2 linked regions of the Macaca fascicularis genome follow. The protein of the gene in region 1 interacts with the protein of each later gene in a biochemical or structural test. Links are inferred from orthologs where the notes say so. Each region holds a gene or a part of one and is shown on either strand. Other genes may lie near its edges.

Region 1 (10,095 bases):
GAAGAATACTAAAATCTAAGATCGTGTTCAGAGTTAGCCATATAGAATGTTGGATCCTAGAATACACGGAGAGCTATTAAATAGGTTCATAAGTAATAGCGGGTTTGTAGAACATAGTAAATGTTTTTCAAAGTGCTGTATTTCATTGCCAATTACTGAATCCTCAGAACAAACCCTCGTCCTATAATTGCAGCACCTTCCTATTTTAAAAGTTGGAGAAACTAAGGCATAGCATATTTTAGTGCTTTTTATCTGAGGTGACACAGGGCAGTAGAGACTGAAACCAGAGCCTGTGATTTCCAGACTGGCATCTCATCGCCATGGAAAACCATATCGCCCTTTATATTCTTCTGTGCCTGTCTTCCTGGGCTCATTTCTACAGTCAGATTTATTCCTGGAGGTGGAATTGGGCCCCTTATGAAAATGTAGTGTCCCCCTCATCACTGCAGTGTCTCTATTGGTAGCCTGTACCCGACTTGGTTTTGTAAGAGTGTTGCTGTGTTTATCTCCTGGCCAAAGCATGAATTCTGAAAAGGCTGCCCTGAAGCTAGATATTATCATCAGGAGTGGTAATAAAAACAACTTCTCTTCATCCTTGTGCAATTTTGGAAGGAAGAATGATAAGTCGTTAATTATCCAGTCCTCTGAATATTGACCAAAGGGAGGAGGAGGAAGGTGGCAGTCTCCAGGCCCAGTCTTGATGAATTCTGTAATCTGTCTCCATTATTTCCTGGCTGTGTAATTTTGTCAAGAGTTATCCAATAACTCTGAATCTTTGTTTTTCTCCCCTTGGGAATAATAGTGATTCCTGACTGAGAAAGTTATGAGTTAATATATGTAAAGTGCTCAGGACAGTGCCAGACATATTGTTACTATTCTTTATAGATGTCTTATTTGCGATCTGAATAATCGTGATGATGGTTATATACTGTCTTGTTATTAGTTAGTGACCTTAGTTTGAATTGACAGAGGGGTTGGCTCCATCAGGCTTCCAGACTGTAGAGTCCAGTTCAAGTCAGTTGAACTAACCAATCACAGACGTCGCTTTCACCTGTCTAGTGGGTAAGGAGAATTTCTGGAACAAGATAAGAAACTCAAACATGTTACTGCCCTGCATTTATGTCATCATCATTTGAGATCTCCTTGTTACGTCAGGTTCTCTGAAGTTCTTTCCTTTCACGTGAGTTCTTCATCATTTTTCATGTCATGGCCCCTTTTAGAGTGTGGTAAAGCCTATGGAACCCTTATCAGAACACTGTTTTCGACGCCTATGATGAAATATGTAGGATTACCAAGGAAAACAGTTAAACCGAAATAACTATCACGTTATTAAGTAAATTTGTGATATGTCAGTACATGTGTTTACTACAGAGAGTAACAGGCTCTGTTAGGTTGGTGCAAAAGTAATTGTGGGTTTTGCTATTACTTTTTTCTAAAAACCACTGTAATTTTAGAGTGGTGATTAATGTAAATATGATTTTGAGATGCCTGTAAAGACTTAATAGGATATGAAGATGTTCATGAGAAAGTCGCAGGTACAGCTAATACTACTGTGGTTTATCACCTTTCTTAGTAATTTGAAGAAATGCTAAATTTCATCTAGAAATTAGCAAAAGTAAGGATGTCATTTTTCCTTTCCAAGTTCACAGGCCCCTGAATTTGACACCCATAGATCTCAGGTTAGGAGTCCTCATAGGAACTTTAGCACAACATCTAGGAAGAGAAGGGATATTGGAAGTTTGTTTTGTCTTGTTTTGTTTTTTTAAACTGACTAAAATAACTTTAACACCAAAAAAAAAAAAAAAAAGCTGTCCCAGATTTCAATCTTAAATGGATTAAGAGAAGGATTGATTTAGCTTTTTATGGCAGATTAAGATTGGGAATCCAGAATGCATCTAAGAGGAATAGTTACAGAAAGTTCATCTCAACTTTAATGGAGAGAGTTCTCCAAAGAGTCATGATCACAAGCCACTACTGTTTATTGGGTACTTGCCTTTATTCTAGGCAGTTTTTCAGATAGCACTGAGTCAGGTGGTGCTAAGCATTTTTACCCACATTGTCTTATTTAATGGGACAATTCACAAAATTCATAAAGGACAATTCATAAAATTAAAAGTGTTCATTTTGTTTTACAGAAGATACGGAGGTTTAATTACAGATATTTTAATGACTTCCCCAGTGTATTAGAGTTTTGGGTTTTGACAGAAAACCCAAAATAAAAGAAGTCTAAGGGTAGCAGGCCAGGATTGGTATAAAGATTCCATGGAGTACCTGGGCCAAGTCTTTCCCTTCCATGCTTAGCAATTCCTGGGTGTAACCCCCATGTCCATGGTCCAAGATGACCACCAGGTAGATAGCCAGCCATCACATCCAGAAGGCAGGGGGCCCTTGCACTACAGAAGAGAGGGCAGAGGGCACATGCTAGCTATATTATAAGGAGGTATTCCTGAAGCTGCCATATAGCACTTACAACTTGGTGGCCAAAACCGAGTCACCTGACTACAGCTAGCTAGCTGCAAAGGAGGCTGGGAAATGTAGTCCTAATTGTGAGAGGCCATGTTTCTGTTTTTAAGGAAGGAGAGGGACATATTCAGTGGAAACTAACAAATCTCTGCATTACCTAAGGCCCATGATAGAGCCAGAGCTAAAATGTCTGGCTGTCTCTGATGTTTGTGCTCTTAATCTCCATGCCGTACTGACATAGTGTTCACATCTTAAAATGGGGATAATGAACTTGTGAGCCATGTATTTCAGAGGTGATTGGGATCATCTGAGATTATATAGGTAGAAGGTTTTTGTGAGATGGTACTTAAGTTATCATCTCACATTTCAGCAACAGCAGCATCTATAAGAATATCTTCTGTTCAGTTTTGTTGAGCTTCTGAATTAACATTGTTGACTCTGTTGTGCTTCCATTACAGGCTCGACTACCTGTGAAGTGGATGGCACCTGAAAGCATTTTCAACTGTGTGTACACATTTGAAAGTGACGTCTGGTCCTATGGGATTTTTCTTTGGGAGCTATTCTCTTTAGGTAAAATGATCCTTGCCAAAGACACCCTCATTAGACTCAGAGCATCTTCTTGAGGTTTCATTAGTGTCCTGCTTCCTTGTGATTAACACTGCTTTGCAAACTGTGTCTCAGGAAGCAGCCCCTATCCTGGAATGCCAGTCGATTCTAAATTCTACAAGATGATCAAGGAAGGCTTCCGGATGCTCAGCCCTGAACATGCACCTGCTGAAATGTAAGGGTCGAAAAATTTTTCCTTTAGATCACATTTTCCCTTTTATTTTTCTTTTTAAAGACAGAAACCCAGATGTTGAGGGTTTTCATAACACAGTTTGAAATGTCACTTGGTTTCTTTATGACACGCTGGTCAAATGTCATTTCTGTAGTTTATTTTCATAATCTCTTGTCACCAAAAATACAGAAAGTTTCAGCAGCATTTCATACATGCAGTGTTTTATGTTATCCATATGTCAGTCCGTATGTCCAGTTGCATAGCCCTGGAATTATTACTGAAGTTGCTGGATGCCATACATTTGAAAACAGACTGAGGGTGTTGAGGAGGGATAGTAAATGGCCCTTGTCTCGCAGGTATGACATAATGAAGACTTGCTGGGATGCGGATCCCCTAAAAAGACCAACATTCAAGCAAATTGTTCAGCTAATTGAGAAGCAGATTTCAGAAAGCACCAATCATGTGAGTATACTCTGGCCGAATCCCCCTTCTCCCAGTTCCAGGTGTGTCCTCCTCCTCAGGTTTTCAAGGTGAGGACTAACCTCCCAACCCCTTCTCTCCTCATCTTAGGTTGCAAATTGGGCTTCAGGTAGGGGAAGTAAAGCAATGGAAACCAGTTCTTTCTGCCCAGCCCTCCTCTTCTGAGCCAAAGAAGGATGTGAGATGGAGGGGGAAGGGTGGAGAGTTTTGTGCTCAGTGGAAGTAGAAGTTTCCGTAAGGATTTGCCATGTTTCCTCCCCTATCTCAAATGCTGGTCATGGGGTCAGTATTTTCTCCCTCTCACGTGTCAGGGCCATTCATCCTTTGGAGGGTTGGGGTGATGTGAATAGAATAAACGCATAGAAAAGACAGCTTGTTACTGCAGTGAAATAAGCCTTCTGATCAAACAAGCATAGCCAGAAAATGGCAGATAGCTGTCATGCCCACAAGCCATATAGAATGAAGAGCTGTTTGAAGTTGGGAGATCCCTCCCAGTGATTTGGGAAGTGGGGGGGAATGAAAACTCAAATCTATTATTTCCTCTCTTGCTTTTAAGGAAGAATTAGTGATACTTTGACTCTGATTTTTTTAAGCTGCTTTCTTTACTGGGCTGTGTGCTTGGAGCTATCTTTTCTTTCCTAATAGCACACCACTGATAATTTTTGGGTTAAAGCTTGTTCTTCTGGGTTTCAAAGCGTGTTTCAACTTAAACAGCATTTTTCACCCAGTTACTTTGATTCTTGACAGGAGACCCCTGGAAGGGCCATGGGTTTCTCGGCAAATTACATTGGTTGTTGGGTTGTAGTTGGCTGTAGAGATTTACAAGCCTTTTTAGATAGGTTTGATAGTGCTTGCTCCCTGGTGTGCCCCATTAGAAGAGCTAAGCTTGTGCATGTTTTGTCCCTACTTCTTGTATGAAGTTATTTCCTTTGGAAAAATGAAGGGGAAAACAAAGCTTATATTTGTTTTGTCAGTATGACTTGGGTTTTGGCCATAAAGTTCTTGTAAACCACTTCTCTCTTAAGAGTTTCCATCAGTTAGTGGTGATCTTGACACTGTAAGTATGCCTTTTGTTGCTGTGTTCATTGTAGGGACCTGGTGTATTGACTATGCGCTTGTTTTCCCCAGATTTACTCCAACTTAGCAAACTGCAGCCCCAACCGACAGAAGCCTGTAGTGGACCATTCCGTGCGGATCAATTCTGTCGGCAGCACCGCTTCCTCCTCCCAACCTCTGCTTGTGCACGACGACGTCTGAGCAGAATGAGTGTTTGGGTCACCCCTCCAGGAATGATCTCCTCTTCTATTGGCTTCCATGATGGTTATTTTGTTTTCTTTTGACTTGCATCCAACTCCAGGATAGTGGGCACCCCACTGCAATCCTGTCTTTCTGAGCACACTTTAGTGGTTGATGATTTTTGTCATCAGCCACCATCCTATTGCAAAGGTTCGAACTGTATATATTCCTAATAGCAAAGTAGCTCCTACCATGAACAGAAAACATTCTGATTTGGAAAAAGAGAGGGAGGTATGGGCTGGGGGCCAGAGTCCTTTCCAAGGCTCCTCCAATTCTGCCCAAAAATATGGTTGATAGTTTACCTGAATAAATGGTAGTAATCACATTTGGCCTTCAGAACCATCCATAGTAGTATGATGATGCAACAAGATTAGAAGCGGAAAACCTAAGTCCTTTATGTGGAAAACAGAACATCATTAGAACAAAGGACAGAATATGAACACCTGGGCTTAAGAAATCTAGTATTTCATGCTGGGAATGAGACATAGGCCATGAAAAAAATGATCCCCAAGTGTGAACAAAAGATGCTCTTCTGTGGACCACTGCATGAGCTTTTATACTACTGACCTGGTTTTTAAACAGAGTTTGCTATTAGAGCGTTGAATTGGAGAGAAGGCCTCCCTAGCCAGAACTTGTATATACGCATCTATAAATTGTCCGTGTTCATACATTTGAGGGGAAAACACCATAAGGTTTCGTTTCTGTATACAACCCTGGCATTATGTCCACTTGTGTATAGAAGTAGATTAAGAGCCATATAAGTTTGAAGGAAATAGTTTATACCATTTTTTAAGGAAACAGTGTAACCACAAAGCACAGTCTAAAAATCTCCTCTTTTAGCTGATGAACTTACTCTATAGATTCTGCGGAACAAGTCTATCAGCTTCAGAATGGCATTGTACTCAATGGATTTGATGCTGTTTGACAAAGTTACTGATTCACTGCATGGCTCCCACAGGAGTGAGAAAACACTGCCGTCTTAGTTTCGATTCTTATGTAGCAGGAAATAAAGTTTAGGTTCAGCCTCCTTCACAGGCATGTCCTGGACGCCGGGCCAGTATCTATATATGTGTGTGTACGTTTGTATGCGTGTAGACAAATATTTGGAGGGGTATTTTTGCCCTGAGTCCAAGAGGGTCTTTTAGTACCCAAAAAGTAACTTGGCTTTCATTATTAGTACTGCTCTTGTTTCTTTTCACATAGCTATCTAGAGTAGCCTACCAGAAGCTTCCATAGTGGTGCGGAGGAAGTGGAAGGCATAAGTCCCTGTGTATTTGCAGTCCACCTGCACTTAAGGCACTCTGTTATTTAGACTCATCTTACTGTACCTGTTCCTTAGACCTTCCATAATGCTACTGTCTCACTGAAACATTTAAATTTTACCCTTTAGACTGTAGCCTGGACATTATTACTGTAGTTTACCTCTTTTAAAAAACAAAACAAAAAACTCTCCTTCCTCACTGCCCAATATAAAAGGCAAATGTGTACATGGCAGAGTTTGTGTGTTGTCTTGAAAGATTCAGGTATGTTGCCTTTATGGTTTCCCCCTTCTATGTTTCTTAGACTACATTTAGAGAACTGTGGCCATTATCTGGAAGTAATCATTTGCACTGGAGTTCTATGCTCTCGCACCTTTCCAAAGTTAACAGATTTTGGGGTTGTGTTGTCACCCAAGAGATTGTTGTTTGCCATACTTTGTCTGAAAAATTCCTTTGTGTTTCTATTGACTTCAATTATAGTAAGAAAAGTGGTTGTTAGTTATAGATGTCTAGGTACTTCAGGGGCACTTCATTGAGAGTTTTGTCTTGGATATTCTTGAAAGTTTATATTTTTATAATTTTTTCTTACATCAGATGTTTCTTTGCAGTGGCTTAACGTTTGAAATTATTTTGTGGCTTTTTTTGTAAATATTGAAATGTAGCAATAATGTCTTTTGAATATTCTGAAGCCCATGAGTCCTTGAAAATATTTTTTATATATACAGTAACTTTATGTGTAAATACATAAGCGGCGTAAGTTTAAAGGATGTTGGTGTTCCACGTGCTTTATTCCTGTATGTTGTCCAATTGTTGACAGTTCTGAAGAATTCTAATAAAATGTACATATATAAATCAAGTGGAATCATTTGATTGTTGAGATTCGTGAGATTAAACTTTAAAGCATTAAAGTGCATTCATCCTGACAACATTTTGTACTCAGTTTTCATAAAATATGTGCAAGACTATCAGATCATACTAGGATTTACATACTTAGAGATTGAACAGATATTAAGAATTTTCATCCGTGTGATATTTTCTCATTTTAGTCTTACAACCTGAGGTCTCTATTTAAATTGAAAAATAGATACAGTGAACATTCTAAGAATTTTACACATAGCTATGATTACTATTAGATTGATTCATGTGAATTTTTGGTATTCACGTGAATTTGCTGCCATTTTTGGCAGCAAAATAATGGTCAAATAACAGCAACTTCATGTGGCTTAATTTAATATGACTGGCATGTTTCCTCCCAGAAGAGACCGTCTAAAAACATGAACAGTAAAATAATAGACCAAGCTAACATGAGGAATCCCAAGAAAGTGGCTTGTATTCTTGTTGGCTTGGGTTTTGAAGACAGGTCATTTCAAAATGAGATATTCATGCTCCACCTGAAGTCCTTATTCTTACTTGCTTCTGGAACAGAGTTAGGTTCCACTTCGACTTGGAGGGAGGTGCTTAGTATGTATGAACTGGGTGCCGTCATGCGGGTGAAACATTCTGCATGCCCAAGTGATACCGTCCAGACCACTGGAACCCAAACAGAGGCTGAGAGTCCTTCAGCTTGAAACAAAGGAGGCACCCTGAATCACATAATCCTATTAAGAATGAATTAGGCACCCACACACTCTCAGTCATGACTGCCTTTATTGATGTGACATCTACACCTGCAGAAATGTCTCCTGAGAGGAAAGGGAAGGAGTGAAAAGTGACCTGTAATGAAAAGGAATCCTTTTAAAATCAAGAGGGAATTGTGTGGCAAAGAATGCGTCAATAATCAGTGAAAAACACCCACATTTCAGTCAGGCGATTCCCATTATTTTATTACAGACAGGAATGAATGCTAATTGACCACAAAACAAAGAAGTCTTTTCTTTCCAAATGTTTTCGCTGTCATTTAGCCTTTGTCATGTGTGAGGAATTTGCGTTAGAAGCGGTTGACAGGCCCCTGTGTTAGGAGTCTAGCTAATTTTCCTCACCAGCCTAGCTTTTCAAAGGAAAGTAATACCAGGTCTTGGTGCCCAGGCTCAAACTTGGTTCAAATCTCAGTGCCACCCCTGTCTCTACCACTTACTGATGTGTGACATTAGGCAGATTAGCTCTTGAAATCTCAGTTCGTGGGAGTAGTGTCTACCTTGATGTATTAATGTGAAGCTGTCGAGACCAGCTCGTTCATATGCCTAATAAGTTTTGCCATGGCCAATTCACCTTATTAAGCAGGGAGGGTGGTGCTTCTGTACTGACACAACTCATATAAAATTATACAATCAAAAACTTGCTTCTAATTTTCTTAGGTGCAAACAGTATTGTACAAGTGTGCTGCAAAACTTGACGTTGCTATAAAGATTTCTGGGTGGTGGTGGTTTTTTTTTTTTTCTTAAATCCCGGTGTTTGGCCAGGAATTCAAAACTCTCTATTCTTGCTCCAGCCTTCCTTCCTACTTCTCTCCCATTATCTAAGGCCCATGAGTGTGCCCCATGCTCTTCTCTGCTTCCATTCTCAGACTGCATACTGTCCCTTCTCTCCAAGAAGACAGACCCGCAAAATCATCTCGATGGGAAGTTGTCGCTGAACTCCCACAGCACTCTTTACTTTTTATGGCTCTTACAATTGATTTTCCAATTATTTTGGCTCTTGTCTTGTCCCCATCCCCACTATATCCAGACTTAAAATCAGTTAACATAAAATTCCCGTATGTGCCAGGGTTACTGCATTTACTTGTTTAAATATTGAATTGTCCAGACACTCAGGGGTTAAATTGCCCAAGAGGTTGCAAGAGTTTACGTTTTGCCCAAGTTCACTGAGCAGTACATGAAGCCAGACTTAGAATCCAGATCTGTACCTCAGTGATGGCAAATACCTGGTCTTCCCACGCTGGTGTCTCCAACCACCCTGGCCATGCAGACATCACTCATCTGCCACCACACCCTCCAACTGAGCCCAGGTGCCTTAGAAGTCACAGTCTTCTCCAACAAGCTGATATGAATCAATTGGTGTTAGCCTGCAGAGAGACTTACCTGTCCCCTTTAAATGATGACCAAGTTTCCATCTTCCTGAGGGACAGATGTTCTTCATCTCAGACACCCCCAAAGCTGCTAGCACAGTACTTCAAGAGTGGTTCTTTTTGAACAAATAATTGAACATCCCATCAGTGTTTGGAGTGGGAGAGAGCCATTTGGGAGGAAATGGGCCCAAGAAAGAGGGGAAATAGAAGAAGACAGAAGGCAGTGAAGTTAGCTTAATTTCACATGATGGGGTGGCACTTTGGGGAGAAGGGAAGGGGAACTAGAAACATTCCTTTGGACAGCCTTACTGAGGCCTATACAGAGGCTTTGTGGGAACAAGGAGAAGAGAAGAAAAGGAAGGCGTTGGTAGACTGGGAAGGGTGGAGAGGAAGGGAAAGTGGCAGGAGTGCTCTTCCTTATTCAGAAGCAGGGAGAGGAGCTGAAGCTGACAAGCAGTTTCTGGGCTTGAGGTGCAGAAGCTGAAGACAGGAAGACCGTGCCGCCCCACACTTGGTCTTGGAGAAGGTCAGCAGCACTGGCGTCTGCATGAGAAAACGCCCCACGGGAGAGGTCTCGGGATGAGCAAGGCTTCAGGAAGCACCAGCTGGGCAGCCTTTGAGTGAACCTTTATGAAGAAAAGTGTATGGGTTTGCTAGGGCTGCCATAATAAAGCAGTTGAAACTGGCTGGCTTCCGTATGGAAACTGATTGTCCCACAGTCCTGGAGGCTAGAAGTCTGAGATCAGGGTGTTGGCAGGGTCAGTTCTTTCTGAGCACTGTGAGACTCTGCCCCATGCCTCTGCCAGCTTCTGGTG
Region 2 (9,587 bases), on another chromosome or scaffold:
GGAGTGCAGTGATGTAATCATGGTTCACACCAGCCTCGACCTCCTGGGCTCAAACCATCCTCCCACCCCAGCCTCCCAGGTAGCTGGGACCACAGATGCATGTCACCACACCTGGCTAATTTTTTTATTTTTTATTTTTGTAGACAGAGGGCCTCACTGTGTTGCCCAGGCTGGTCTCAAACTCCTCCCACCTCAGCATCCCAAAGTGCTGGGATTACAGGCATGATCCACTGTGTCTGGCCACCTCTGGGTTATTTTAAAAACAAAGCTTCAGCATTACTCAGTGTACCCAGGTAATAAACCTGCACATGTACTCCCTGAATCTAAAATAAAAGTTGAAAAAGAAAAAAGAAAAAGAATAAAAACAAAGCTGAGACATCATATGATCTCACCTTTAAGTACTTCGTAATGAATTTCTGAAAGATAAAGGCTTAGAAAAACCATAACTGCAATACCATTATTACACTTTAAAAAGTTAGCCATAATCCCTCAGTATCATCAAATGTCTGATCAGAATTCAAATTTCCCCCAGTTGCTCATAAATGCTTTTTACAGTCAGTCTGGATTTGAATCAAAGGTCAACACATCATTTGGTTGATAAATGTCTAAATTTCTTGAAATCTAGAGATTGCCCATCTTTTCTTGTAATTTTGTTGCTGTTGAAGAAGAAACTGGGTTGTCTGTTCTGTAGAATTTCCCAATCTGGATATTTGTCATTGTTTCCCTTGTATTTCCTGTAAACTAGTTGTTGAATCCAAGGAATCAGATTCAAGTTTGGTGTTTTGACAAAAACAATGACTAGTTGGGGTTCACATGTCTGCAGGAGGGTCTGTCTCCTGAGTTGAGCAGCAAGTTCAGGTGCAGTGAATCTGATACATTTATTAACGAGCTCCCATCAGGTAAAAGCTCAAACTAAAAAACTCTTAGACAAGGCTGGGCACGGTGGCTTGTGTCTGTAATCCCAGCACTTTGTGAGGACAAGGTGGGTGGATCACTTGAGGTCAGGAGTTCAAGGCCAGCCTGGCCAATATGGTGAAACCCCGTCTCTACCACAAATACAAAAAATTAGCCAGGCATGGTGGCAAGCGCCTGTAATCCCAGTTACTTGGGAGGATGAGGCAGGAGAATTGCTTGAACCCAGGAGGTGGAGGTTGTAGTGAGCTGAGACCGTGCCACTGCATTCTAGCTTGTGCAGTAAAGTGAGACTCCATCTCAAAAAACAAAATAAAAAAACCTCTTAGACAAAAACATAGACTGGTGTGAGCAGTGGGCAGAGGCCAGAGATCTGTCTCACAGTCTCCAATGAGCTGATTGACAGAGAGGCTAACAATAGAATATTATCTAGGCTTAATTGGAGGCACAGGAGAGTGGTGGATTTATTTATTTATTTACTTACTTACTTACTTACTTACTTTTGAGACTGAGTCTTGCTCTTGTTGTCCAGGCTGGAGTGCAGTGGCATGATCTCGGCTCACTGCAACCTCCGCCTCCTGGGTTCAAGCGGTTCTCCTGCCTCAGCCTCCCTAGTAGCTGGGATTACAGGCGCCCGCCACCATGCCCCAGCTAATTTGTGTATTTTTAGTAGAGATGGGGTTTTGCCATGTTGGCCAGGCTGGTCTCGAATTCCTGACCTCAGCCTCCCAAAGTGCTGGGATCCGCCTGCCTCAGCCTCCCAAAGTGCTGGGATCACAGCTGTGAGCCACCGCGCCCGGCCAGGAGTGGTGGATTTAGATTTGGGAAAGATCGCTCTGGGTGCTGAAGGATGTGTTGGAGAGCGAAGCCAGATGCAGAGGGCTGAATGCTAGCAGGTTCCATTTATATGGCTTTCTGGAAGGGGCAGAACTAGGACAGAAAGGTTTCAGGTTGGGGAGGAGGGAGCAGGGTTGGTAGTAGGGGACACAGGGACTTGTGGGGGGCAATGGGGCCGTTCTGTGTCTTGGTGGTGGGGCTGGATGCATAACTGTGTACATGCTGGGGCCAACTGTCCCACCAGCTAGTCCAGGACCAGCGGAGGACAAGCATGCTGTTGGACTCATCTGCAACTCCCAGGCCCTGTTAGTTACCCCTCGAGGCTTAGACTGTCAGGAAATCTCTCTGGGATGATGGTCTCTTGTCCATTCACTTAGCAATGACTGGGCGCCCACTATGTGTCAGGCTGCATGGTGGGCACTGGAGACTCTCAGATAACCATGACCACTCCTGCCCTTGAGGAACACCCAGGCAGGCAGGGACATGGCCTCGATCCATTTGACACTTTCACCAAGGCTTCCACAGGTGCCCACCTCTCTGGGTCTCCCCCCCACGCCTTTTTTTTTTTTTTTTTTCCAGACAGGGTCTCACTCTGTCACCCAGGCTGAGTGCAGTGGTGCAATCTCAGTTCACTGCAGCCTTGATATCCCAGGCTCAAGGGACAAGGGATCCTCCCACCTCAGCCTCCTGAGTAGCTGGGACTACAGGTGCCCACCACCACGCCCGGCTCATTTTTTTATTTTTTGTTGGGATAGGGTCTTGCCATGTTGCCCAGGCTGGTCTCAAATTCCTGGACTCAAGTGATCCTCCTACCTTGGCCTCCCAAGGTGCTGGGATTATAGGCGTGAGCCACCACACCCAGCTCTGGTTCCCTTCTTGACTTCAGCCAGCCAGGCCTTGCTAGACAGAACTCATAGGTATATCAAAAAATAATCTTTATTGTCACTGGTATAAAACAGAGCAGATCAACTGGCCTCTCAGTCTGTACAGAGTGTGGGGCATGAGACTGCCTGGGCTGCCCCCAATTCTCCCATAATGCCCTGCCCTAGAGCAGCAACTCCGGAGCTAGGAGAAGGGGAGGGGCCACCCCAGGCCTTCCCTTGAGGAGAGGGGTCAGGAGTGAACTGGAGCAGGGGCTGGTTTCTACCTGAGGGAGGCAAAGAAGCAGAGGAGAAAACTGGAGTGGGGGAACCCTTCCGCTCCTCATCCCGTTCCCCGCTGCCACGTCCCAGAGTCCACTGGATGGGTGGAGAGGCGGTGGGCAGCCTGAAGGCGGGCTGAGGCATGAGCCAGTCCATGGCCTGGTCAGAGGGCCACCCGCGTGCAGCAGTGGCGCAGCAAGCATGGCAGGATGCCGCGGTTCAGCTGGTGGAACTCCACGAGCTGCAGCAGGTCAGTGAAGCGGGTCTGGCCATCATCCATGCTGAAGTACAGGCGGCCCTCCTCCTCGCTCTGGGGTACAGTAGAGGGGGGGAAGGTCAGGGAGGGGCCCGAGGCTTAGGGAGCTCCCTCCTGGGCCAGGGCCCCACCCATTTCATTTTCTTCTTTTTTCTTTTCTTTTCTTTCTTTTCTTTTTTCTTTTTTTTTTTTGGAGACAGGGTTTTCTCACTCTGTCATCCAGGCTGGAGTGTGGTGGTGCCACCATGGCTCACTGCAGCCTTGACCCTCTGGGCTCAAGCAATGCTCCCACCTCAGCCTCCTGAGTAGCTGGGACTACAGGTGTGCACCACCATGCCTGGCTCATTTTTAAATTATTTGTAGAGATGGGGTCTCCCTGTGTTGCCCAGGCTGGTCTCGAACTCCTGGGCTCAAACCATTCTCCCACCTTGGCCTTCCCAAGTGCTGGGATTACAGGTGTGAGCCACCGCACTCAGCCTCCCACTTCTTGGGCAGGGAAAAGGGAGACGCACTAGGGGCCAGGGAGCCTCTGGAGGGGCCTGGTGAGGAGGACAGGTTGCTGGGAGTCCTGTGTCTCATTGCAGGACTCCGGGGACGCAGAGAAGCTCACCGGCAGGATGAGATAATGCTTCACTTTCTGCAGGTGGCACAAAGAGAGGACAAAGCCCTGGGGGTTCCGCTGACTCTCCCGGACCAGGAACAGGCTGCCAGAAGACAGGAGATAGGGCAGCATTACCCGAGGACCCATGGCTGCCACCTGGACCCCGGTCTCTCTTATCCCTGGGTCTGTTGCCCGGCCCTGCCCCTTACCCGTCTACCAAGCCCTGCTGTCCAATAAGCCGCTGGCTCTCCTCACGGGAAATGCGCCCGTGGAACCAGAGTTGGGTGCGGTGGATGGCTGCGGTGGGGAAGGACATGGGCAGTCACTTTGGGGAGGGGACCCCTATACCATCTGCTCCCCACTGAGAATGCAAAGAGAAGTCGAGGCAGCCCCTGCCCCAGGACTCAGGGCCATCACACACCTGCACTGAGGCTCGTGCCGGAGGCCGGCGTAGGCAGGCTGAGGCGGTGGTTTGTCTTCTTCTGTGGAGCAGTGGGAGATATGGGAGAGTCGGGGTGTGCTTGCGGGCATTACCCAGCACCTCAGGAAGGTAGAGCACTTCTCCCCAGCCAGGGGGCCTCCCCCTGCCCCTCTTCCTCCCTCCTATTTCAGGGATCCCACCCAGAGAGTGGGTCCCCAGCACCAACACACAGGCAGCAGGCCTCACCCTCCAGGCGTGGGCCTCCTCCAGGGCCACACTCAGAGCCTCCCGGGGGTTCTCAATGACGCGCCCGGCATGGCCAGAGAAGTCCATGGCCACCAGGGTATTATCTGAGACACTTCTCTGGAGATGGAAGGAGAGGGGAGAGGTCAGAACAGGGCCCAGGTACCCCTAAGACAGGGCCTGCGTGCCCACCCTTCCATCCCCTTGTGCGCACTCACCAAGGGTGGGGAACCCAAACAAGGCGGACGCAGATGGCGAGACTGTGCCTGCTGGTAATTCCTGTACAGCTGCACCCCGTACTGGGGGTGGGGAGAGAAAGAGCGCTTGAGGTCGAGAGGTCCTGGGGGCGTGGCTGTGACCCCCCTTCAAACCAGGACTTGCCCAGACTAGGGCTGTGTTTCTGCCTTCAATGGGCGCTTCCTGTAACTTCAGGCTTGGACTGAGCGTTATCAGAGAGCAAGGCTGTGATGCCCTCCTCATTCCTGAGACTTCCTGGGGGCAGAGCTGGGAATCCCTCTGGCCAGATCAGCCCCCCATGCCACTCCCAGGGTCTCACCTTGAAGAGGCGGAAGGCAGCCAGCCAGCAGGTGCGGCTCTGCTCATCTTCACTGCAGAAGATCCGAAGCCCCTTGTGGCCATTTCGAAGCTTGTTGGGCTGCGGAGAGAGGAAACTGGCTGGTCCCGTATCTGCCTTTGGGACTACATGTCTGTCCCTGCTCCACAGAGCAGAGCAGGATCCAGGGAGTTTCCAGCAGGCCAGGGTGCAGGGAGAGGAGCCTGGGCATCTGGATTGGGACTCAGAAGCCCTAGGCAGGATCCAGGGGCCTGAGCAGTTCCTGCTTCCGCAGGCCAGGGGCCAGGCCTGGCCAGGTCTTCACCTTGACACAGAAGCCAAAGTCGGTGGGCATCCCGTAGAGCTTGCGGCCTTGCGTCACCACGTACACGTTGGACTCGTTCACATCTGCCACGTATTGCAGGTGCCTCGGATCCTGAGCAGCACGAGTGAGCAGGACTTGGTACAGGTGGACCCCACCCGCTATTACCTCCCCCCACAAGCCAGGTGGGGAGATTTCAGGACCAGAGAGGGGCAGGGGAGTGCCCAGGGTCACAGAGCAAATAGAAGTAGAGCCAGGACTTAAACTCAGGTCATCTTTTCTCCTGCTACCTCCCTGGGCAGGTGAGCTGGGCAAGGATGTAGGGAGAGATGGTAAACTGGAGGTGGTTGGCCTGGGGGGCACGGGGGGAGAAGGGCTCAGGGGTTCCAGCAGAGAAGGGGCAACTTCTAAAAGGACCAGGGACTGCAGAGGCTGGAGCTGGCACTCTCAAGACCTCACCTTAGAGGTGCCCTTGGTGGAGTAATAGAGGCCAGATCGGCGCAAGAAGCAGAAAAAGCGTTTCCAAAGCTTCCGTCCTGAACCCCGCAGCTGCAGAAAGCCCTGGATCTCAGGGAAGCTGCCAGCATTCAGGAAGTTCTGAGCCAGAGAAGAGAAGAGAGTGGGAGGTCTGGCCTCCTCCCTTCCCCTCTACCACCAGATGTCTTCTTTTTCTTTTTGAGATGGGGTCTTATGCTAGTGCAGTGGCACGATCACAGCTCACTGCAACCTCGACCTCCCGAGCTCAAGTGATCCTCCCACCTCAGCCTCCCAAGCACCTGAGACCAGGCTCATGCCACCATTCCTGGCCTTTTCCTTTTTTTTTTTTTTTTTTTTTTTGGAGAGACAAGGTCTCACTATGTTGCCCAGGGTGGTCTCAAACTTCTGGGCTCAAGTAATCCTCCTGCCTCAACCTCCCAAAGTGCTGGGATTACAGGCATGAGCCACCACACCCAGCCCACCCTCAGGTTTTTACAAGGAAATGCTCCACATGCATTTCTCGCCCCCATTTAACAGAAGAAACTGATGCTCAGGTAGGGAAAGTGAGTTGTCCCCAGTCACACAGGACTGTGGTTTGGCTCTTTCTACCACATAGAGGGGAGGCACAGGACCTAAGGGCAGAGAAGCACTGGTCAGTTCTGGGGAGTCGTGAAATGGGGGGGGTCTCCCCACCTGGATGAGGTCTTCATGGGATATACCAGTGTGTGCATCGAGACAGCTGGAGACCATTTTTTCTGGGAACAGGGAGTGCTGAGGGTAGAAAAGTGTCAGGGGTCAGGGCTCCAGTGTCCGGTTCAGGCTCAGGGCATCCCAGCGCCCAGACAGCCCTCACACACTCACTGGGGAGCTCTTGAACAGTTCGTACTTGGCGAAGTTTTTCCGGAAGACGAAGCGGCTATCTCCGCCCACGGGCCAGGCAGCCTGCACTTCCACCACGGACTCGTGGTCCTCCAAACCCCGCTCTGGGGTCAAGGGCAAAAAGCAGGGGTTATTGGAGATCAACCAGATCTCCCAGATGAGTCACATGCCTAGCCCAAGATGCGAGACATCACCTCCCAGCCTGGGTAGTTCCATGCACCCGACTTACCCAGTGCTAGGTGGGGGTGGCACTCCACCAGCCCCCAGGTCTCGTCGCTCAAAGCGTGAGCTCGCTGCACCAGCATTTCACACACATGGCGAGCTGTGGCACCTGCCGCCACCTCCACAGACCTGCAGGCCCCGTCCTCACTGTACACCTTTACTACCTGTGCCCCAGGAATTGCAGATGACTTGAGGGGAGGCAAAGGGTGATTCCTTCCCTTTCCACACCTGCTAGACCCTCAGGGACTCCTAACCAAGATCCCCCGCCTCCATGGAAATGGCTGTGTATCTCCCACAGATCCAGAACCCTGCATCCCTCCCTTCCCTTCTGAGGGACAACTCACATGGGGGCGGCTGGCATCGCGGGGGAGCAGCCCTCTTGCACTAGAGGGGCCCCCAAGAATGGGGCTCTGTGAGGGAGGACTGCAGAGCTCAGGGAAGGGGTTGGGGATGGAGGGGAGGGAGGTGGCACGCCGCTCCTCCTCTCGAAGTTTCCTGTGGCAAGAAGAAAAAGGGAGAGAGGTGTGGGGAAAGGAGCAGTGGCCTGCAAGCCGCTGTGTATTATCCAGCACTGACCTCCCCCAAGCCCCACATCCCGTCGTACCTGCCGGTGGTTGGGATGAGGAGAGGCTGGGACCTCTTTACCTCCTCAGGCAGAGAGGTATCAGGGGGCCGGGGAGTCCCAGGAGGGGTCCCGGGGGCTGGGCAAAGGTCTTCCGGAGAGCTGCCAAGATGAGGTGGAGACAGATCCAGCTCCATGGCATCTGAGGGAGAGAGGGGCAGAATGGAACCAGTTGTGTCAGTTGTGTGCCCTTGTCCTGGGGAGAGGGGACTAGAGAAATCAGACCTCCTGACCTCACACGGTGGTTAGGGTGCCCCTCAGAGTTTACCTAGCACCTCACTGCTCTAACTGGAGTTTCCCTGAAGCCCTTGGGGAAAGACAGAATGAGCCTCATTTTATAAAAGGGGACACTGAGTCTCTGAGAAGGAAGCATTCTTACCCTCAGTCACAGGTGAGTCGGGGAGTAGAACCTGGTGCCCTGAGTCACAGGTGAGTCAGGAGTAGAACCTGGTGTTTAGACTCCAAGTCCAGTGCTCTTTCTGGTTTTTTTTTTTTGTTTTTTTTTTTCACTGCAACCTCTGCCTCCTGGGTTCAAGCGATTCTCTTGCCTTAACCTCCCGAGTAACTGGGATTATAGGTGCATGCCACCATGCCCAGCTAATTTTTGTATTTTTAGTAGAGATAGGGTTTCACCACGTTGGCCAGGCTGGTCTCGAACTCCTGATCCGTCCGCCTTGGCCTCCCAAAGTGCTGGGATTACAGGCGTGAGCCACTGCGCCCAGCTCCAGTGCTCTTTCTTTAGCACAAAGTTGCTCACAGGAAGAGCTGAGGGTCCACCCACCACAAGCCTGGTGGTCACAACAGATTTCACAACCCACACACTCTCAGGCTCAGCCCTCAGGGTCAGGGCAAAGGTCCACTCCTTTGCCTCCACGCGTGGGGCACTCACTGCTCCAGGCACTGCCCGGGTTTTTCCAGCACTGTGTTGCCAGACCCAGTTGCCAGAGCCTGTTCGTACTTGGTGAAGTTTGGCCTGCCCAAGTGATGAGTGATGCAGGGGGGAGAAGGAGGTGGGGAAGGATGGGAGCCAGAAAGTCAGGAGAGCCGGCTCCGCTTCAGTGCAAGGGGGAGAGGAGACCTGGGGTAGGCGTCCTGGCCACAGCAGCCCCTAAACCTTGCGTACCCTCCCCAGGCCATCCTCCTGCCCAACTCTTTCCTGAGGCTCCAATGCTAGAGCCACTTCCTCTGAGAAGCCTTCCTGGCTTTCCACATTCTGAGTGAACGACTCCCTCTCAGCACTGTGCAGGGGCTACATCATCCATTACTGCGCACCTGTCCTATCCACTCATTTGTCCAAGGGCACCCGGTACCCCCAGGCAAGGCCAATCTCACCCATGTCTTATCACTTACAGGGGCTGCACAGACACTCAGGACAAGTAAAGACAGGAGAGCCGGCACTAGAGGTGGAGGTGGGGCTGGCCCCTCCTCCTCAGGAACCAGGCAGACCCCTTTGGCTGGACTGAGACCTGGGAGAACCTGCAATCCCAGCCCCTAGCCTGTTCTCCGAACACTGGGCCAGTACTATGAGGCCACCTGGGGCACCTGGGATTGACCCCTCAGGAGGGCGCAGGCACCTGACCCCTCAGTGAGGGCATCAGGGGATTTGGGGGACAGGTGAGTCAGGGCAGGCGGGACAACACTGCCTAGGGCTCTCCATTCAACCTTGACTCATCCACACAACTTCCTGGCTTAGGAGAAACAAAAACAGCCCTGCCTCTACCCTCCCCCCAACTCCCCAATCCAATGGTAGCCACAGCCGAATGGGGGAGGCATGGGGCTGGGAACAGGATGGGGGAGGAACATGTGGGGCCTGAGGCTCCTCTGACATCACCTCCTCCTCCCCACCCTCGGCCTTGCTCCAGGCCAGGTGGGACCTGTGATCTGCTCTCACCCCCAGTGCCAAACCACCGCCTTGCCAGGGAGTCCCTCACCTGGGAAAGAGAGAGGCAATGCCCGGCCTGGATTCAGAGGCCCATTTGGAGAGAAGCCAGCGTCCCAGCGGTGCCCCTCCCCACCCAAAGCATCGCTCAGAGCCCCCGCCCCGTGTGGATGAGGTTCCTCCCGACACATTCTCCTGGGTGTCCCGGCCAGAGGGGTACC

What was found.
Region 2: the proteins of KIT (region 1) and GRB7 form a complex in vitro, tested with the Homo sapiens proteins (3 studies listed by BioGRID and IntAct, with this or other methods). The link is inferred for Macaca fascicularis from reciprocal best matches to the Homo sapiens genes KIT and GRB7.

The regions. Positions count from the first base shown.
Region 1 is NC_088379.1:79,154,744-79,164,838, reverse strand, and holds the end of KIT (mast/stem cell growth factor receptor Kit), read left to right. Parts: intron 1-2,921; coding exon 2,922-3,033; intron 3,034-3,144; coding exon 3,145-3,244; intron 3,245-3,597; coding exon 3,598-3,703; intron 3,704-4,849; coding exon 4,850-4,978; 3' UTR 4,979-7,132; downstream 7,133-10,095. UniProt on the Homo sapiens protein: Tyrosine-protein kinase that acts as a cell-surface receptor for the cytokine KITLG/SCF and plays an essential role in the regulation of cell survival and proliferation, hematopoiesis, stem cell maintenance, gametogenesis, mast cell development, migration and function, and in melanogenesis.
Region 2 is NC_088390.1:60,803,247-60,812,833, reverse strand, and holds the end of GRB7 (growth factor receptor-bound protein 7), read right to left. Parts: intron 7,887-9,587; exon of another isoform or gene 7,867-7,886; intron 7,630-7,866; 5' UTR 7,625-7,629; coding exon 7,470-7,624; intron 7,361-7,469; coding exon 7,210-7,360; intron 7,030-7,209; coding exon 6,873-7,029; intron 6,748-6,872; coding exon 6,626-6,747; intron 6,536-6,625; coding exon 6,458-6,535; intron 5,885-6,457; coding exon 5,747-5,884; intron 5,402-5,746; coding exon 5,291-5,401; intron 5,068-5,290; coding exon 4,969-5,067; intron 4,712-4,968; coding exon 4,631-4,711; intron 4,533-4,630; coding exon 4,416-4,532; intron 4,231-4,415; coding exon 4,170-4,230; intron 4,046-4,169; coding exon 3,958-4,045; intron 3,852-3,957; coding exon 3,758-3,851; intron 3,202-3,757; coding exon 3,055-3,201; 3' UTR 2,668-3,054; downstream 1-2,667. UniProt on the Homo sapiens protein: Adapter protein that interacts with the cytoplasmic domain of numerous receptor kinases and modulates down-stream signaling. Promotes activation of down-stream protein kinases, including STAT3, AKT1, MAPK1 and/or MAPK3. Promotes activation of HRAS.